5 linked regions of the Nothobranchius furzeri genome follow. The protein of the gene in region 5 interacts with the protein of the main gene of each other region in a biochemical or structural test. Links are inferred from orthologs where the notes say so. Each region holds a gene or a part of one and is shown on either strand. Other genes may lie near its edges.

What was found.
Region 1: the proteins of dlg1b (region 5) and slc16a3a interact in a test that uses a peptide from one of them, tested with the Homo sapiens proteins (2 studies listed by IntAct, with this or other methods). The link is inferred for Nothobranchius furzeri from reciprocal best matches to the Homo sapiens genes DLG1 and SLC16A3.
Region 2: the proteins of dlg1b (region 5) and rho guanine nucleotide exchange factor 26 interact in a test that uses a peptide from one of them, tested with the Homo sapiens proteins (2 studies listed by BioGRID and IntAct, with this or other methods). The link is inferred for Nothobranchius furzeri from reciprocal best matches to the Homo sapiens genes DLG1 and ARHGEF26.
Region 3: the proteins of dlg1b (region 5) and kcna4 interact in a biophysical measurement, tested with the Homo sapiens proteins (2 studies listed by IntAct, with this or other methods). The link is inferred for Nothobranchius furzeri from reciprocal best matches to the Homo sapiens genes DLG1 and KCNA4.
Region 4: the proteins of dlg1b (region 5) and arhgef16 interact in a test that uses a peptide from one of them, tested with the Homo sapiens proteins (2 studies listed by IntAct, with this or other methods). The link is inferred for Nothobranchius furzeri from reciprocal best matches to the Homo sapiens genes DLG1 and ARHGEF16.

What each region holds. Positions count from the first base shown.
Region 1 is NC_091758.1:11,499,055-11,502,530, reverse strand, and holds the end of slc16a3a (monocarboxylate transporter 4-like), read right to left. Parts: intron 1,093-3,476; coding exon 719-1,092; 3' UTR 515-718; downstream 1-514. UniProt on the Homo sapiens protein: Proton-dependent transporter of monocarboxylates such as L-lactate and pyruvate. Plays a predominant role in L-lactate efflux from highly glycolytic cells.
Region 2 is NC_091753.1:51,607,816-51,611,992, forward strand, and holds the start of rho guanine nucleotide exchange factor 26, read right to left. Parts: upstream 2,802-4,177; 5' UTR 2,664-2,801; intron 2,314-2,663; 5' UTR 2,226-2,313; coding exon 867-2,225; intron 262-866; coding exon 210-261; intron 133-209; coding exon 1-132. UniProt on the Homo sapiens protein: Activates RhoG GTPase by promoting the exchange of GDP by GTP. Required for the formation of membrane ruffles during macropinocytosis. Required for the formation of cup-like structures during trans-endothelial migration of leukocytes.
Region 3 is NC_091749.1:47,038,227-47,042,387, forward strand, and holds kcna4 (potassium voltage-gated channel subfamily A member 1), read right to left. Parts: upstream 2,812-4,161; 5' UTR 2,624-2,811; coding exon 554-2,623; 3' UTR 407-553; downstream 1-406. UniProt on the Homo sapiens protein: Voltage-gated potassium channel that mediates transmembrane potassium transport in excitable membranes. Forms tetrameric potassium-selective channels through which potassium ions pass in accordance with their electrochemical gradient.
Region 4 is NC_091755.1:32,511,825-32,515,896, forward strand, and holds the end of arhgef16 (rho guanine nucleotide exchange factor 16), read left to right. Parts: intron 1-30; coding exon 31-160; intron 161-325; coding exon 326-400; intron 401-501; coding exon 502-594; intron 595-720; coding exon 721-872; intron 873-1,366; coding exon 1,367-1,552; intron 1,553-1,747; coding exon 1,748-1,812; intron 1,813-1,971; coding exon 1,972-2,073; intron 2,074-2,145; coding exon 2,146-2,285; 3' UTR 2,286-2,958; coding exon of another isoform or gene 2,959-3,199; 3' UTR 3,200-3,469; downstream 3,470-4,072. Other genes in the region: ybx1 (Y-box-binding protein 1), read right to left, coding at 2,959-3,199, 3,470-3,567, 3,930-4,072. UniProt on the Homo sapiens protein: Guanyl-nucleotide exchange factor of the RHOG GTPase stimulating the exchange of RHOG-associated GDP for GTP. May play a role in chemotactic cell migration by mediating the activation of RAC1 by EPHA2.
Region 5 is NC_091751.1:34,942,010-34,946,164, reverse strand, and holds the start of dlg1b (disks large homolog 1), read left to right. Parts: upstream 1-1,355; 5' UTR 1,356-2,019; coding exon 2,020-2,038; intron 2,039-2,958; coding exon 2,959-3,090; intron 3,091-4,155. UniProt on the Homo sapiens protein: Essential multidomain scaffolding protein required for normal development. Recruits channels, receptors and signaling molecules to discrete plasma membrane domains in polarized cells.

The sequences.
Region 1 (3,476 bases), on a different chromosome or scaffold from region 5:
ATTAGTCAAGCTAAGATGTGACTTGAACCAGTTAAGTGGAATGTGAGAATTGCCTATTGTGGATAGGGGGGAGTGACAGATGGTGTCAAATTCAGCACTGAGGTAAAGGAGAATGAGGATAGAGACCGAGCCAGAGTCAGCAACATTAGAAGATCATTAGTGATTGATCTCGTTTGAATTAAGCAGGCCATTCTGTTCTGACATGTATTTGTTCCGTTCATGTGGGCATGTTGTGGTCCCTCTGGACAGATGGTTGCTTGAAGGTGTAAGACGAACCCCGAAGCTAACACCTGACAGTGGAAGGTTATTTTAACTCAGAACGTGAGTCAGCAGTTAGCTGGTTAGTTATCCTGTTGAACCAGTAGGTCAGGTCAGTTATTCTTAATACATATTAATACATTGCAGTTATGGTCTGGTAACGCAGATCAGATATAATTTTGACAAAAATATCTAGATTTTTTTGGCTGGTGACTGTATAAAATGTCATGTCTACATTTGATGAGCCGTGTTCATAGGGCAGTACTGAAACTTACCTCCTATTTGTCATGAAGTCAATTTGCCAACATCAAATGACTTTACTGATGAAAATATGCATAATTTACATTTTATCTCCTTGCATGAGTCAACGAGAATCATGCCAAAGCTTTTCAACAAACAAGGCAATAGTATATTTCACAAAGCTATTTAGTTAGTGACCCCACCTGAATCCTCCCTGAGCCTACAAACAGGTCTCGGGACAAGCAGCCATGTTACCATTTGTCTGGGGCTCTTTCAAGAACCTCTCCACTTCCTGTGTGTCCACTGTGATGTTCTTCTGCCTGAACTCAACCCTTTCCTCCTTTTCCTTTATCACCATCTCCTGTTCTTCTCTCACCTTTTTCTCCTCATCATCGTTCACCTCTGCACTTGTGCTGCACATCTTTGAAGTACAATCGTCGGTTGCTGTGATGCTCTCTAGTTTGTCTGCTGGCTCAGGGGACCTCTTAATGAACAGAAAATTGCCGGCAGCTAGAACCACAGCAGACAGCACCACTTCACATCCCGCCAGCAGGAAGACATACATGTAGTTGTTGGTGGCATCAAGCAGCCGCCCTGAAACAAAGACAAGATCAAATGAGAGTTGTATTAACCTACATATTCGTTACATTATGGCTCAAAACCTTTTTTTTTTACGACCAAATTGTTTTTTTTACCAATGCAAAATTGCATGGGTAAAATAATTAGCTCTCAGGGTGCACAGTAAGCTGGCATGCACTCTATAAGTGAAACTGTCAACGTCCCGCTCTGTGCAAAGACAGCTTGTTTAAATTGCCCTGTGGCATGAACCAGCTACTTCCGCGGCCACACACACAACACGTCACACCATTCAGTTCAACACAGCTTTATTTACTCCTTTCCCTTCGCTCTCCTTCTCCCAGCCCGCCCAGACGTTTCTCCTGGCTTTTCAGTCCCAGCTTGTCCTCCCCTGTCTTCCTCCTCCTCCTATAGTTAGAAGGCGAGGTCTGATTATTGATGCACTCCAGCTGTGTGGCAGCGTGCCCCCTCAGTTATGCCCGCTCCATCTGCCCATGGAGGATCAGACAGTAAGCTATCTGACAGAGAGATGGTCATCCCAGAAGACAAGGGTCTCATCGGACTGTTTTGGTACCTCTGGCCCCAAATCACTCTTCCCCCGAACTGCACACAGTAGAGATACTGGCGCCTCCTCTCTTCGTGCTTTTAGGAGATTCAGGTGATAGATCTGAGTGGCTACTCCCCTGTCAGACTGCACCACCTCGTAGTCCACGTCCCCCACTCACCGCGTTACCTCAAAGGGTTCTTGCCACTTGGTGAGTAGTTTGGAGCTGGAAGAAGGGAGTAATACAACAACTTGATCCCCTGGGTAAAATTCTCATACCCTGTTGATGATGTTCCTGGGCCTGGAGCAAATGTCCTCGTGAAAGTGTTCCCAGTGTTTGGAGCTTTGCTCTCAGGTCCAGGACGTAAAGGATGTCATTTTTACTTGTGCTTGGACCTTCCTCCAAATTTTCCTTAATTAGGTCCAGCATTCCCCTGGGGGGTTCTGCTAAATAACAGCTCAAAAGGGGGAAACCCTGTGGAGGCTTGGAGGAACCTCTGGGATTGCGAACAACAGAGGGTCCAGTCACTTATCCCAGTGACGTTTGTTCACGTGAATGAGCTTCCGAATCATGGTCTTCAATGTGCGGTTGAAACGCTCCACCAACTCGTTTGTCAGCAGGTGGTAGAAACTGGTTCCTACCGATGTGATGTCCAATAGAAAGAAAAGAAAGAAGAAAGAAAACAATATTTTGTACAGCGACTCTTAAGATAAAAATCACGAAGCACTTCACAAGAACAAAAATTTCTAAAACCAAAATATATATAAAAAAAAAAAAGATTTTCCTTTAAATCTGAGACCATGGTCTTGATTCGGGAAAGGGTAGAATTCCTTCTCCGGGTCAGGGATGAGGTCCTGCCCCAAGTGGAGGAGTTTAAGTATCTCGGGGTCTTGTTCACGAGTGAGGGAAAGCTGGAGCGTGAGATCAATAGGCGGATTGGTGCTGCGGATTGGGACTATGTCTCTCACCTGGCCAGGGAACGCCTTGGGATTCCCCCGGAGGAGCTGGCCCAAGTGGCCTTAGGCTACTGCCCCCACGACCCGACTCCGGATAAGTGGATGAAAACGGATGGATGGATGGATTTTAAAATATCATAAAAAGGAGGTGAAAAACATGTGATAAAAATGTAAGGAAAGGGATTGGGAAAATAAATAAGAAAAAGGTGTATTTACGGAATATTTTCGGAAAAGGGTAGAATTCCTTCTCCGGGTCAGGGATGAGGTACTGCCCCATGTGGAGGAGTTTAAGTATCTCGGGGTCTTGTTCACGATTGAGGGAAAACTGGAGCGTGGGATCGATAGGCGGATTGGTGCTGCATCTGCAGTGATTTAAAATCCATCCATCCGTTTTCATCTGCTGATGTATATTTACGTCTTGTAGGTTTATTAATGGGCTGTGCAGTGGCGCAGTGGTTAGATGGGAAAGGTGGAATTGGTAGACAGAGCAGATAAGGAGAGGGTGGTGATGAAGGTCACACCAAAGCCTGAACAGGTGAGTTTTCAGCTGATTTTTAAAGAAGACCACTGAGTCCACGGATCTCAGGCTCAGGGGGAGAGAGGTCTAGAGTCTGGGGACCACAGCAGCAGATGTACCAGAATTATGTTAATCACATATTTTAGCTATCCTTGTTTTTAATTCTTATTTTGTATGTATTTTTTTTTACCTTGTTTTAAATTGTAATGTCTGTGCTTTATGTACATGGGACTACGGATGGAAACTAGTTTTTCTAATTCTGGTATACGTCTTGAAGGGTTTATTAATGGGCTGTGCAGTGGCGCAGTGGTTAGAGCTGTTGCCTTGCAGCGAGAAGGTCCTTTCTGCATGGAGCTTGCATGTTCTCCCTGTGCATGTGTGGGT
Region 2 (4,177 bases), on a different chromosome or scaffold from region 5:
GGCTCCAAGAAGTACGTATTGGTCTATACTGCACGACAATGCCGTTATCAGGTTTGGGTTCCCTGGAATAGGCGTCCTCATCGGAATCATTATGCAAAGCCTTCTCTTGGTAGTTCTGGTAAAGCTCTTCCTCTGAAAAAAGGGGAAAAAAAAACTAAAGATGAAGAAGCGCACTGATCACAAAGAAGAGTAAGATGACTGCGTCTCACCTTCACTGTCAAACGTCCGCTGAGCTATCAAGAGTTTCTTCTTATTTAGAGTCTACAAGAAAAGTGTCACAACTTTAAACTCCATGGGACCAAAACACCAGCTGTTCTTGACCTCCTTTCCTGACACATATTTAATGACAGAGTCAGTGTGTTTTTAAGTGTGTTTGTTTAGACGTAGCGTCTCGTTGCGTCTGGTCTTCCAACAAACAAGTTAATTGTTTCCCTGTGAGGCCTTGTCCTCACGTCTGCCGCTGCTAAGTTTGTTCCACAATGGTCAGCTTGTGCAGTGGTTTTATAATTCGGACTTTAGCCCTTCTGATACTGAAAATCTGTCAAAGCAATCTTTGTGCAACACAGAGAAGCCATCAGAGTTATTAACTGAGACAAAGACAAAACATAACTTGTTTCAAGCTAAGGAAAATACAAAGGTATACAGGTTATGCTAGGATTATCAGAATGAAGTTTAGACATAAGAACTTTTCAAACAGCGAAATGTTGTATTAAACTTTCTTTACAACAAATTAAGAGGGAAAATGTAATTTGATGAAGATTAAAACAATAAAAATCTCAATAAGACCTTTCAAAGTTGGTCCAACTAATGCAGGCGTCTCAAGACAATTATGTTCAAGCATTCCTTTGGATAACAGATGTACCTACCAGTTTCTTGCTTTTGCTTTTAGATTTTTCCACCTGAGGGCTCGGAGGCTTTGGAGTCTTGGGGCTGGCAGTTTTAGGTGTGCTGGGGCTCGTAGGGATGGCTGCTCCAGGACTCGAAGGGCTCAAGGTGACAGGATGTGATGGGCTATCAGGAGAACTTGGGATAGCCAAAGTAAGCCCGCTAATGGCAGGTTGTGACAACCGATGAGTCATTTGATCTACGGAGGGTATTTCCGTTTCTTCTGCCTTCACAACTGCCCTCCTGTAAGAGGTACTCCTCAAACCTTTCCTTGAAAGGGGGCTTTCACTCCCTCTGTCTGCCTCTTCAGAGTGGCCCCCTCCAGTAGAAAAGTAGCCTCCCGTTTCCACCATGCTGAGTGTTTTTTGCCCTCGCTTGGGAAGGTCTAACCCCAGCCTGGTCATACCCTGGCTCTGTGTTCCAGAAGGATGCGCCTTACTCAGCCGAGTTTCAGACACCAAGCCTTTGGGGATGAGCTGCTGGGTGCCCATTTTCCAAGCGGCGGCGCTGTTGGTGCTCAGGATGATCGACGGACAAGGCGAGACAGCTGGGGATAGTGATGGTAAGGGCGATGTGGAGGAGATGGAAGAGGACGATGAGACATTCAGGGCGTCTTGTGAGGAGGAAGATGTCCGAGACTGCCTGACCAGGGAAAATCCTCGGTCTGCTGGTGAGGGGGAGCGAGGAGTGGAAGGGTCAGAGGAGGTCAAAGACAAGAGTGAGGGGATGCTGGACGTGGAGCTGTTGGAGGGTGTGAGGGTACCGTGTGATGACGGTGAGGAGCTCGATGAAGAGGATCGTGAAAATGTTTCATAGTTGTTGTTGTTGACATTTGTAGAACAGCTGAAAGGATCAGCTTCGGATGAAAATGAATTCTGTTTTCTCTGTAAGCTGAGACTCTTGGGACTGGAGGTGATTTCAGACAATACAGCTTGTCCATTACTGGTATTCCCTCTGCCACTGTCTCCATTACACACTTTGTTGTCCAGTGAAGCAGATTTGTTATTGTCAGATCTAAATTTGGCCAGAGAGAATCGCCCACTGGACAGATGGCCTATGCTTATGCTCCGAACCACTCTGGTTTTCCTTGAGGGCTTCTGTAAAACGTGCTTCATCACCGCGGTGTTGTTGTGAGCAGACTGAGCTGATCCCGCCTGTCTCTCAGCTGGCTGGCTGTCCTCCACAGGGACATCAGCAGTCATGACCCCGTTTATGCGATAACTAACGGGCCGCTGCTTAGACCTGCTCATGTCCAGGGAGCTTTTACGGTGGTCTGTACGCAGTTTCCACAAAGGCGTGATGTTATTATTGGACAGATCGACATCGCTGCCAATATCCATAGTTGTTGCGAGTCCTCGTTGCCGTTTGTGGCTGAACTTCCAGGCTGGAGCAAACTACAGAGCCCTTTTGGGGAGCAGATATCCTCCGCTTGAGATGCACAAGAGGAAAAACACCACTCAGCATTCAAGAGCTCAGGACAGTGTACAAATTCCAAACGTTTACTCATTAACAGGGACTTGGAGCAGACACAACTACAGACAAGACACATGTGGTCAGAAAACAGAAGGCAAACCAGTCAAGACAGATCTTTTTGTATTTACTCATCATAGTGAAATGACCTAATTACAAACTGGTGAGATGACGAGCAGTTACTGTAGAAGTCCAAACAGGAAACAACAAGGCACCAGATTTTAGTGTTGTTTTTAATCTATTTATGAGGCAAGGTGCTGTTTCTGATTACCAGGAGAAACTAAAAGCAGGTTAAAAGTTAAACTTACCTCCTAACCTATCACTCTGGACGTGCTCTTTACGCCTGAGCTGTCCGAAAAGCGCATTTTTAGCGAAATGATGACCAAAAAACAGAGAAGTTTAAGGAGTTACTGACAGAGAGGATTCATGCCTGCCACCCTGACCGCGTCTGTGGGAGCGCTGAGGAGTTTGAATGCAGGGGGGAGGTGGAGGAGGAGGAACAGCAGTACTCAAGTTCAGGAATTCACTCAGATAGTTTCTACTTCAGCATATTGGAGAGGGTTTCCGGGAAGACAATGAAGCTTTTTGTAGCAGTTGGCCAGGCTTGTTGATGAAAATCAAGCAAATGTGATGAAAAACAGGGTGTAGGCTACAATAAAAGTGTAATTAGAAACTGTTATTTTACAAGTAAGTCCTCGATAGTCAATTTTCCAAAAGGTTTTCCCACTTTTCCAACACGCCTGTTTTAAAAGCTATTTTACCTGCTTTTCTTTGGCGCCACCGTGTGGTAGATTGTGATACTGCCAAATATCTGAACACAACAAGAAATGGAACTATATAAAAACAATTAAACTCAAACGTGTGTATCAAATCTACTTTATTACCCACATATGCATCACTGTGGACGAACATTATAAAGTATAATCATTTCTGATGACCTCGTCCTGATTTATAGATTTCATAACCATTCCATTAAAATGCATTGGGCAATGTGTGAGTCGTGTTTTCATGCATTTTTGATTGCACAACTCCGTGTGTGACAGAATGTCCCCATTAAATGAACACACATGCATTCCTCCAGGCTTAAAAACAAATTACTCATTCCAAGTAAATGCCAGCTTTTATAGCGCTTAATTGCTCCCTACTGTCAAAGTGCTTTTTGTGCTGTCGTTTTTTGACCACTAGGGGTCATGATTGCCCTGTTTGCCAATGATAGCTCATATCATTGATTGAGAAACATCTGTCAGACTAAGTGCAATCTGAAGTTTTGCTTCCAGAGTGTTGCCTTTTTTTATTAAACTAACTAAAAATGACAACAGCAAAAAACATTTCGTTTAAATTCTATTTGTGAATCATTGTGTTATTTCATTTAAATATGCTTTATCAGTCCATCTGCCTCACAGGACGTTTACATGGAGTAAAAACCCCTTCGTGGACACCCCCTTTCATGTTCCAACTTCTACATTTTTCAAAAGTTTTCGTAATGAACCTGAACAACCTGCAGCTCATTGTCTTAGTAATTAAGCTCCTCATAATGAAACTCTTTCTGCTTCTGTCAAATTAAAATTGAATTTAATTTGTCTGTATATTTTCAGTAGAAAATAGTGAAAATGTTAAATGTGCCCAGAAAAAGGCTTAGAGTCAAAATGAAATGTGATTATGGATTTTTTTTTTTTGAGAAATGCAAACAGACGTAATTACCTACTAGCTTCTGGAATAAAACAAAATACATTTGCAAATAAACAAAAGTGCATTTTCTAAAAATAATTAATTTTAAGTTGTGGTTTACTCATTCTTTCAATACATTTGCACTCTTCTCTAG
Region 3 (4,161 bases), on a different chromosome or scaffold from region 5:
CAGAATCCAATTGAGTGTTAAAATCCTCATTCGTGTTCCAGCTGAGCAGAAGGTGCCTACCGTGTTGCCTGCATGGCCTACAGTTTCTGTCTCTACATAGAAATCTGCCAAACCCAGCGCAAATTCTACATTAGTGCAAACATGTTTTAAACTGTATTGCATAACAGCAAAAAGATCGTCCCTAACCCTCTGGTGTGACAGATGAAACTCATAAAGTGCGAATGCATAGCCTGTTTCTAATTTAGATCTGTCAGATTTGGAAGCCCGCACAGAATAAATTAATATATTTACCAATAAATTAGATAAATTATAGATTATGATTGTGTCAAGAGAAAACTTTTGAGCTTGCCAATTAGTTTCGTGTTTATGTGTGAGTGTATGTGTGTGCGTAAATCTGTGTGTGTCTGTGTGCACTCTGACGCGTGCGTAAAGCCTGTGTTTGGGGAGGGTTGGGGAGGGGATTCCGCTGCTGTTGAGCAGAAAGTGTCTCTACAAGATGCTTTTCTTCTTTGGAAAACAAAACAATACCACTAATAATAATAAACTACTGTAATCACACGTCAGTCTGAATGGATTTAGAGTTAGTACTGTTTTTCCTGCTTATGTCTGTGCCGTTTCCTTTACTGGGGCTCTTGTCCAGCCCGCACAGCGACTCCGTCACCCCTTCCTCCATCTCCATGTACTCCGCTTTGTCACCCAGCGATGAGCCAGAGGGTGAACCTTTGAATTTTCTTAGAAAGTCAGGGAAATAAGGGCATCCCGGGGGCATGCTCTCCACCACGGCGGGCGGCTGGTCGTCGTTATCCGTCTCTCGGTGGTAAAAGTAGTTAAAATTGGACACTATGACAGGCACCGGCAGCGCGATGGTTAACACGCCCGCGATCGCGCACAGCGAACCAACTATCTTCCCACCAACAGTGATGGGCTTCATGTCACCGTAGCCAACCGTCGTCATGGTAACCACGGCCCACCAGAACGCGTCGGGGATGCTCGTGAACTGAGAGGTGGGTTCGTCCGCCTCAGCGAAGTACACCGCGCTGGAGAACAGGATTACGCCGATGACCAGGAAGAAGATGAGCAGAGCCAGCTCCCTCATGCTGGCGCGCAGCGTGTGACCCAGGATCTGCAGCCCCTTGGAGTGTCTGGACAGCTTGAAGATGCGGAACACCCGAACCAGGCGGATTATTCTCAGGATGGCGAAGCTCATGGTGTGCTGCCCGTTGCCCTGGTGCTGCGCCAGATCCGTGCCAAGAGTTATGAAGTAAGGCAAAATGGATACAATGTCTATCGTGTTCATAATGTTTTTAAAGAAAGCTGTTTTGCTCGGACTTGCAAAGAAGCGCACTATAATCTCAAAGGAGAACCAGATGATGCAGACCGTCTCCACGATGAAGAACGGGTCGTTGAAGGGTGTGAAGCCGTGGTCCGGCTGAGAAGAGTTGTGTCGTGGCTGCAGGTACTCTTTTTCATCCCTGAACTCTGGCAGCGTCTCCAGGCAGAAAATGACAATAGAGATGACGATGACCAGGACGGACACCACCGCGATGCCCCGGGCAGGACTCGAGCTCTCCGGATACTCGAACAGCAGCCAGATCTGGCGCTTGAACTCGTCCTCCGGCAGAGGCTTTTCCTCCTCTTTCACAAAACCCTCATCTTCCCGAAACTTGAGGATCGCCTCCTCGCCGAGTTCGTAAAACTTCACCTCCTCTGAGAAGATGTCAAACGGCACGTTCACGGGTCTTTTTAAGCGCCCCCCTGACTGGTAGTAGTACAGGATGGCATCGAAGCTCGGCCGGTTTCGATCGAAGAAGTATTCGTTCCTCAGCGGGTCGAAGTACCTGATGCGCTTGTCGGGGTCTCCCAGCAAGGTGTCTGGGAACTGAGTGAGAGTCTTGAGCTGAGTTTCAAACTTCAGCCCCGACACGTTGATGACCACCCGCTCGCAGCAGCCGCACTCGCTGTAAACGTTCTCGTAGCCGGACTGAGGGCGCCGGTCGGTGATCGACACCGTCTCCTCATCATCCATGTTGCACAGAAAACTCGACCTTTTGCTGCCTCGAACCCCCTCTGCCGCCTCCCCTTCTTCCTCCTCCTCTTCCTCCGCTCCCTCGGCCTCCTCCTCCTCCTCCTCTATCATGATGTCCTCCTCGGATCCGAGCAGCGCCAGCTCCGAGTGGCGCAGGTCCCCGCCGAGAGTGCTCCGGTTGCGCCTCCACCGTCCGACGCCGCGCTGCTTTTTCCGCTCTCTGAGAACTCTGTGCTGCTGCTCGGGTTCCTGCTGATGCTGGGAGGAGGAGGAGGAGGGGCGCGAGGCGGCGCTGCTGCTGATGTTCGCGGAGGAGGAGGCGGCGCGAGACTGATGCTGGCGATTGTTAAGGAGATGAGCGCTCGAGGAGGCGGTGGAGGTGGACCCCCCTACACCACCGCCTCCACCACCTCCTCCTCCTCCTCCTCCTCCCTCCGCACCAGAGCATCCTTCGGCCGCGGCCGCTGCAGCCGCCGCTCGCGACTGGGCAGCCTGGCGCTCCCTCTCGCGCTCCCTTTCCCGTGCGCGAGCTTGGGCATATCCGTAAGGCAGGTGACTGTTGCACCCTCCGTCCGCACCCACCATCGCAAATTCCATTTTCAGTCGATCAGCGGCGCAGTAAGCGCCACGACAAGGTGTGGATGCAGAGCAGGGGAGAAAAGTTGCAGTTCGGCGCGCGCAGAGACGCGAGGGCACGAGGCATCAACCGTTCCCGGGAATAAGAGAAAGTGAGAACAACAAACACTCCTCAGAAAGGTCCATATTGGGTAGCTTCTTACATGATAGAAGATAATGGTCGTGGCTCGAGCACCCAAGATTTTATGACATCATTAGAAGCAAAATATAAACATAAGGATAATACAAATCCAAGGGCCAGTGGCATAGCCTGTTACGCAGACGCTCTGTCAAACTTGCAGCGCCGCTTTATGTGTTCATAAATCACCGAGTCAACAAGCGACACCAAAACAGTCTCTCCTCCGTTTCTCTGGTGGCCATCAGGTGGCTCATTCCCCCACGACCGAGGGTTTGCGCTCAAACGCGTCCTTTAATCCTCCGTGGTCACCCGTGGTTGCCATTTTATGAGGTGAGATCTATATTTGTGTTTCATTTGGATGGATCTCCGCTTTATTCTGGAGCTCCGATGAATCCGAATGACTTTTCCTCTCAGAAGCTGCGAGAAAAGGAGAGGATAGGATTTAGACAACAACACGAGAGAAAGGGACGTGTTAATATTAATGATCGCTGTGCATATTACGAAACTTCACACGCTTATTATTATTATTATTATTATTATTATTATTATTATTATTATTATTATTATTATTAATATTAATGCTTGGACGGCATTAACAAAACACGTTTCGCACGAAATCCTCTCACTAAGCACCATTATTTCATCCTGACATCCATACTTACATCCGTAAAGGGCCAAAAGAGCCTCAGCCCTCCTAAAAACACATTTGTTGGAAGATGATGAGGAGGCGAGGATACAGATTTTCTTCTGCGCTCAAACCTTCGTCTTGATTGTGAGGCGTGATAATCACAAATCCGTCTCCGTCTCCAACGGGCGACCATATCCACATCCAGCATATGCATCCGTGCTCTGACGCACTCTGAGGAGGGCACTTTTTCCGGCTGCGTGCATGTCGACGTGTTGTCTCAATTCAACAGGATCTGTTGGCACTTGAGCCTCAATTTCTGCGGCACCGCTTCTGGGGAATCAGGTGTTCACGCAGCGAGTTGGCATCTACGATGGCTCCACGCGACCGCGAGCAGAAGAAAACGAGGGTGGGTAAAAGTTTACCTTGGTTCGGGCGGAAAGGAACGGCCTCAGTCTGAGCATCACACATCTGTCTGTCTGCCGCTTTAGCTCTACCTATCTCCTGTATCCCTCCCATTGTGTGTGTGTGTGTGTGTGTGTGTGTGTGTGTGTGTGTGTGTGTGTGTGTGTGTGTGTGTGTGTGTGTGTGTGTGTGTGTGTCGTGTACTGCAGCGCGCAGGCGGCGCTCGGTCCTCCCCCAGTGGACGCAGCCGGTACTGCGTACCTGCTGCAGTCTCTCATCCACAATTATCTGCCCTTCAGCATGCCTCCATGGTGCCAAACTGACTTTTTTTCCTCAACAAAAAAAAAGTAT
Region 4 (4,072 bases), on a different chromosome or scaffold from region 5:
GTCTGAAGTTCTCTCCTTGTTGTGTCTTAGGAACAATAACGCTGCGTTTAAAGAGACTCTGAAGCAGATCGAGTCGAACAGCGAATGCGGAGGCCTCCCCATGCTCTCGTTCCTCATCCTGCCCATGCAGAGAGTCACCAGGCTGCCGCTGCTGCTCGATGTTAGTTTAACCTTTGACTGTAGAAACAGACTTTAGAGCTAAAAACAGTGATTTTTTAGCTGTTTGAACATAATACTAAAAATATCTGACTGTATAATTTCTAATAGCGTGCAGTAATTTAGCTACGGTATTACTCCTTTAATTGCTTTATTTTTCTATTTGCAGACAATCTGTCAGAAAACTCCAGCACAGACAGCGGAGTATTTTTCTGCTGTTTGGGCACTGAATGCCATGAGTAAGGTATAACAAGTCAGCTGAGTGGAAAACACTCCTCATCAGTACACGTGTGTTGAGGATGTTGATGTTTTGATTTGTTTTTGCTGCTGTTGTGATCTCAACAGTTGGTCACAAGCTGCAACGACGGTGCAAGGCGGATGGAGAGGACGGAGCAGATGTACACGATCCAGAAACAGATGGATTTTGGAAAAATAAAGGTGAGTATTTCTGCAGAAATGTGCTCAGAGCGGTTCGTTTAGGGTAAAACGAGCAAACTAACAGATTTAATATGAACAGTGATGAATCTGAATCAGCACAGAAAACTAACAGCTGTCTCCTCGCAGCCTTTCCCGCTGATTTCATCATCACGATGGCTGAAGAAGCGAGGAGAGCTCTCCATCTCCAGCGAGGAGCTCAGCATATGGAGAGCGTTCAGCAACAGGAGCTACTACCTGTTTCTCTTCTCTGATGTACTCATCATCACCAGGAAGAAGACGTGAGTGGATTCACCGAGCTTGTTCATATTATTCACCCGAGTTTCTGAATGAAGCTGAAAATTACAGATCCGATTCTGATTCAGAGTACTTCAAACCTAGTTGTGCTGCCTGTCTAATTTACAGCCAGCTTGAGAGTGTCTGATAGAGGCGTTATGTTGTCTTTGTGACCTGTGGACACTAAACAGACCCAGCTGGTCACAGGAACACGAGCAGAGGGTATGGGATGTGTTGCATGCATACTTGGGATTCTTCAATCTTGCATTCAGCTCGTCAGCTCGACCGACTTCTGTTTTGAGTTAGGGAGAAGCCAAACAACGTCCGCTCAGAGGACGGGTTTGTCCACAACACCGGGTTCAAAGTCAAAGCTGTGACCCGGTTTCAGGTGAAAGCATACGATAAGGGTTTAAGCAGACAGCTGAGGAATATGCTGCTTTTTAAACACGGTCACTCCTACACGCTACCCATATGGAACGTAATGTTTTTTTAAATCCAGAGAGGAGAGCTTCGTGGTGCTGGACTACGCCACTCTGGAGAACGTGGAGGTGGAGTTAGGGGAGGATGCAGAAGTACGAGGAGTGTCACCTACAAAATACAACTCCAACCAGCTTTCCTTCAGACTAAGGATGAGTAAGAACAGCGAGGGGAAGTCAGAGCAAACCTCTCTGGTGGCTGACTCCAGGTACTGCTGCACTCCCATGTTCCTAAAGTAAATGTAATGTTTCCTACTAATAACACTGCCTCTAACCTGGACAAGAACCGCCTTGTAAACATGTATCTGCAGGCTGGACTCATAAAGCCTTCCTGTAATCCACGATTCTGAGTGTTTGGCTCCCTCTGCTGGCAGAATGATAGCTCACTGTTCTCTCTTGCCAAGGGTGGACCGAGCTCGCTGGATAATTGCACTGAGAGGGAAGCAGACCAGTTTTACCTGCACAAACGGTAAGTCTGCATACTTCAGTGAGTTGCTGTAATGATGGTTGAGACTTTTTCCCTGTGAGGATAAGCTGCACAGAATTTCCTTTCGTTCTTTTAATATTTTAAATCATTTGAGTTAGATTTGTGAACCCCAGTGCAATGCATTATGGGAATCTGTTTCAGGTTCACCACAGTATGAAGCCACCAAAGCTTACATCCCCAAAGAGCCAGATGAACTGAGTTTGCGGCAGGCTGAGCTCGTCATAGTTCTGCAAAAGGAGGAGGGTGAGACTTTCTAGCTCATACTAGTCCCGATTCTTTTCTGCTTCTGTGTTTTAAACCGTTTGCTCTCCTTAGATTGGTGCTACGGGGAGAGGATGCGGGATGGTGAGAGAGGCTGGTTTCCTGCTAACTGTGCCACAGAGATCACCGACCCCACCGCCATGGAGAATAACGTACAACGTATGAAGCGCCTGCGCAAGGAAACCAATGTTTGATCAACTGTCAGGGTTTTGCTTGGACAGACTTGTAGATAAATTACACTGAACCCCAGACGTCCATAACTAGACTGAAAGATGTTTATTAGCTGAATGTTGCCATAAAATTTGATGTAGTCAGTTTATAAAACAGTTAATGGTTCAAACATCTTCATTAAACTACTCCTATATTGTGCCTGTATAAATAATAAAATCCACCAGACACATTTTCTGGTTTCTGGAGTTTTATTTGAGCTTGCATTTTGTTAAAATGTCTGAATACATAAAAAGTTATTTAAAAATGTCAAACTGACCAGATATCAAATTTCATTTTTAATCATCTTTAAAAACCATTTGGTGTAAAAACTTAGGACAGATTTAGAAAAACATTTGTTGTTTCCCCAAAACGTTTTGTAGCTGCAAGTAAAAATAATGGGAAAGAAAAACAAGTCTGCATAGATTCTGCAGGCAATCGGTGGTAATCTGGTCAAACGCGTGGTGCAAGCTTGTGACGATCTTAAAAGTCAAATCTTTATTGCTCGGATCTTGTTTGATGTTTCTTCTTGTTGACAAAAGAAAAACTGTTGAAAAGAAACATAATTTAGTCGACATGCACCATGAACATCAAATGCTTAATGAGCTTCTGCTCACCCGGACGATGGTAAAAGATGGTAGGTGCCGGTGGGCAGGTTCACTACTCAGCCCCACCCTGCTGGGCCTCGGGAGCGGACGTTTTCTCTGCAGGTGGGTCGCCTCCTGTCTTGGCCTCCTTGTTTTCCTGGCCTGGTTTGCCACCAGTCTGTTGGCGTCTGCGGCGGTAGTTGTAGTTACGGCGGTAGCGCCTCTGGCGGGGCTGTTGATTCTGACCACCTTCACCGCCCTGATTTTCTTTGTCCTCCTCGCCGTCTCGCACCGGTCTGGGACGGGGTGGACCCCTGGAGCACAGAGACCGTCATGAGAACGATTCAGAAAATCGGGGTAAAGATTGCATTAACTGCAGATGCTGGATGAAGTTTCAAAGACATGCAAATATAAATAAAATGAATGCACAGCAGCAATTTGAGGTTGGGCTGCAACAACAGAAGTTTGTAATGTGACGTTTTGTCATCACTTCAAATTTTTAAAATGAAGCTCCAGTGGACCCAGAGCTTCACCAACTACTCCAGTTTTTGCCAACCCTTCATCAATAAAGCCAACATGCAAACCTTGGTGTGAACCTTGGTCGGAAGCCTCTGTAGTAGTTCTGCCTCGCCGGTTTGTTCCCCTGGTCTGGACCTCCTTGGCCCTCATCAACCTCACCTCCCTGAAAACAAACATTTAACCATAACGGACGCTTTTTTTAGTGACACACCCACTTTAGAAACTTGAAACCATCTAAGTTTTTTGTTTTAATTCTTTTTTTTTTTTTTTCAAGATTTTGTTCACAGTTTTGTTGTTTTTCATTGACAGGAGGGGCTCACTTCCAAGACCCCCGATACACCAAGATTAGTTGATCACAACCACGTTTGTGAAGAGGAGAGTAGCTCGTCTACAACAAAGGGTTTTAATTTTGGAATGGGACAACTGGGTGACTGTTTCAGGATTTTAGCCCTGTGACAGCGTACCTCAGTCATCTCTGCGTGGTGCGTTGGGTGTATGGGGCCTGCGGCCGTAGCGACTACGTACAAAATATGGTGGGTAGCGCCGTCTGCCAGGGTACGCTGGTCTGCGCTGTGGTTGCTGCGAATCTCCATCAGGGATGTTATCTCCACCCTCTCTGCTGCCTTTGTCACGTCCTCCACTGCCAGGCTCTCCCTCGTCGCTCTGGT
Region 5 (4,155 bases):
TTATTATTATTATTCTGAGCTACTACAGCAATCAATTTCCCTCTGGGATCAATAAAGTGTTTTTGAATTGAATTGAATTTTATTCTCTAGTCTTGTTGACTTCATCCTGCGCGGCTGTTCAACGTCTCATCGATACAACATCAAAGACTTTTAAAGTTTGATCAGCAGCAAAAACACCTACAGAACAGGTGACCTGGTGAACTTTGACCTTCTGGAACAGTTCTTTTTCAAAATCTGATGAGGAGGTCTGACTTACTTTAGATTCATGAGCAATTTTTTTCTGGTCTAAAGTGGAAATGTCTTTAATTTCAAAGGTTCTGGTCTTTTAGAGGTTAGATGTTTAGTGTTGTGATCAAATGTTAAAGGTTAAAGCGCTCTAAGAAAATAATCAGTGACTAGGTCAGAGGGATTGAAACAGTTAAAAATCAGCGAAAGAAGACAAGTTAAAAACCTTCAGAAGATCTGGAGACCTGAACCAGAACCACCAGGTCACAGCAAGGGAGACTAGAAAGAGTGACTGGATCAGGAGTTCTGGGACAGATCCAGAATAGATGCTGCAGCATGTGAATTTCCCCACTGTGGGATCAATAAAGTTTATTCTATTCTGTTTAAATGAAATTAACTCTGAAGTTAACCGGCAGGCGATGAAAAGGAGAAGCGGGTTGTGTGATTTGGTCAGAAGCCTGACCTGAGCAAGGACCTGACCAGAAACCAGAAAAGCATTAATTATAGCATGGACATAGTTCTGACTTTAGAAGTGGGGACACACATCTAAGATGAGGCACCCGCCTCAACCCAGATGAGGCGGGTGCGGTGCGGTCTATCACTGCCTCAGTGCCGCTCTCTTGGTCCGTCAGGCCTCTTTCAGAAGCGTTTTCCCAACAGGATGTGTGGATGAAATACGTCTCCACCCATATGCCTGGACTCTCACTTCAATATAATGTAATATTGTTTTTAAACAGCAAAAAGTGCAGGGGACAAGAATTTATTTGGGAAAGTTTGGGGGGGGGGGGGGGGGGGGGACATGCCCCACCTGCTCCCCCAAAACTACATCCATGAATTACAGAGAGCATCTCAAATACAGATTTTTGTCAAAATTTTTTTAAATAAAATGATATAATAAACAGTTTTTCAAAAAGTACATCTTTGGAATAAATATGCTTTGTTTTGAGTGAGTTTGATGATCAGAAACTTTATTTATCACACACACACACACACACACACACACACACACACACACACACACACACACACACACGTAGGTGAGCTGCATCACTGGGCGCCCAGGTTGGGGGGGGGGGGGGGAGTGTCAGGAATCACATGGTTTACGTTTCCAGCTTCCTGAGACGCCATTTTGGAGGAAAGTTTGGACTTCGTGAGACCTGGGGAGGTGCAGGGAGAAGGAGAAGAGGAGGAGGAGGAGAAAAGAGGTGGAAGTTTGACACGAATGCAGCTTCCAGGCTGCTCGGAGGCTCCTGCGGAAGCGTGCGGACCGGGGCGGGGCAACTTTAGGTGGGCCACCAGGCTGGACTTTGAAGTTTGGGGCTTTTCTGGATCAGATTCTGGTTCGGTCTCCTCCGCAGCAGGAGCAGCAGCTGCAGTGGTCGTCGGCTCCTGCATGCTCAGCCTGGTTCGCAGCCTGCTCGGACACAGCCGGAGGATTTTACCCGGACTTTGGCGCCCAGCAGGTCCCAGCTGCTGGAGGCTAGGTCCGCTCCGCTCCCGGTTCCCTCAGCGGTCCGCCCGGGAGCTGCACACCGGCGCAGGGAGCCTCTCAGCTCAGAGAGTCGTTCCCTTCAAAGGAGTTTCTGCTTGATTCTTCCTGGAATAATCACATTTTACCGGGAGTCCTGTGTGTTTGACCCGGAGGACCGGTTCTGGTAGTAGGAACTACTTGGTGGGGTGTTTTTTTTGGAGCAGTGACGGCGGGCTTCTCTTGGAGGAATTATCCCCACAGACCCGTCCTGTGTGCGGGGTGTGTGTGGTTATCACGTCCCTAGGTCCGAACCGAACCCGAACATGCCAGTGAGAAAGAGAGGTAAGCCGCTTTCACTTCATTCCTAAAGATCAAGCTAACTGTGCTAACCTGCTGGGACAAACTCGCATTGCGGTTCAGAAACACAAACACACTAACCCGGTTCTGGCTCGGCTTACACACGACCCACACAGCTCGCTTCAGCCCTCCTGAGCCGAACCGGGCCAGCTGAAGTGAGTTAAAGTAGAGCTAGCCAGTTAGCTTGTGATGCTAACTAAGTTCTAAACTGGACCTAAAAATAAACTCCGAACTTAAATAAAATCTTCACAAAGCCGCTTCAGGTAGCACGTGACACTAAAACCAGTAACGTAGGCCCGGTAAACCGGAGGTAACCAGAAGGGACCGGGTCGGTGGTTACTGGGCTTACAGGCACTTAGTTCCTGACCCGTCTCTGGGTTTACCAGAACCTCCCATTCAGCTGGTGCCGACCCACATAAAAACAAAGTTCAACTTTTGTCCTTGTGAGCTTTTATTAAATACGTGTTAAATTGTGTTTGTGAATCTTAGTGAGTTTATTTGTGTTTAAACCAGTTAAACTGGTGATCTGGTTTTAACAGCAGGCTTCACCGCAACCTGCTTCATGGTGTTTAGTTTTTCATAAACAGAATATTCCTAAAACTTGCTTTTTGTTCTTTAATTCATTTATTAAACCTCCTGATGACCTTTGAATAAGACGTGGGTTATCCATAGACCATCCTGTTTGGGAAGTCTGGGCATCAGGTCTGTGTCAGGTGTAAATCCCGACTGAAGCCCAGCTCTGATCATCATCAGATGCTCCTGATGCAGCTGGAACAACTGAGGGGTGTGTGTTTGGAGGTGCTGCTCCTGCAGGAGGTTGAAGCTGCAGAGGATCAGATGTTTCTCTGTAGCTAGCTGGTCTGAGATCTGTTTTGACTCCTGCTCCTCCTCCTCCTACTCCCCAGATGCACAGCGGGCTCTGCTGCTCCTGGAGGAGTACCGTAACAAGCTGAACCAGACAGAGGACCGCCAGCTTCGACACTCCATTCAGAGGGTCATCGACATCTTCCAGAGCAACCTGTTTCAGGCTCTCATAGGTAAGGCTGAACTTTGACCCCAGCCACTCTGCCTGGACCCAACAGAACCAGCAGTAAAATCAGCAAAATTCACACATTTTGAATGTGGATCTCTGTCATGTTCATATTTGTTCTGAAACTAGAATCAAACCACTAGAACCTTTAGAAGAAGGTTTTGATGGTTCTGTGCTCCAGAACCAGAGGCCCTGTTCTAAACCTCACCTCCTACCTGTGATCCAGACCAGAACAGCTGTAGGTGGAACTGTTCAGTTTCTAAAAGTTCACAAACATCAACGCAGGAGAACCAGAACCAGGCCCTGGAGATGCACCAATGGCTTCTGTATTTCTGTGAGAGCTGTAGGACATCTGGTCAGACTGAAGTCCTCCTGAGAACCTTCTGATCATAGAGGCGAAGTCTTCGGTTTGGGCCCTGTTGGGTCAGAACCCTCTGATGTTCTGTCTGCTGGCTCAGGGATTCCTGTCTGCTCTCCTCCTGCTGAAGGAATAGATGAATCCGTGTGTGTGTGTGTGCGCGCGCGTGCCTGTGCGTGTTCTTCTTAAACCCGTCCTGATTCTGCGTGCGTTTGTTTTGTTGTCTTGGCAGATGCTGACAAAAAAATACATTTCTGTCAGAGGCCCCGTGGGCCGAGCAGGGTGTAATCCCTATGTGGACATGATGATTTCCCTCAGTAATCTCCACCCGCCCGGTTTACACACAGCCTCAGACAGATGGCGTCTGTCCAGTTTTGCTTTAGTGAATCAACTTTCAGATTTCTGCTCTCAGATTATAATCTGGTTCTGACAAATCTGGTCCAGCCGCAGGATCAGGTGTGATAATAAACCCGTTTATATGTAAACAACATCTTTAAATCAATCAGCTGGGTGTGTGTGATCGGCCTGGTTCGACACACACACCCAGATTTTCCTGTAACTTCCTCCTAGGAGATTCCCAGCTGCTCCAGGACCAGCTGGCAGATCCCTCTGTAACGATCAGGAGCTGGACCCACTGGTCTGTCACAGCCGGGCTTTTGCTTCCCTATCCAGAGTTAAAATTAGGAACTGTTAGGTGTGTGTTGGGTCCTGCGT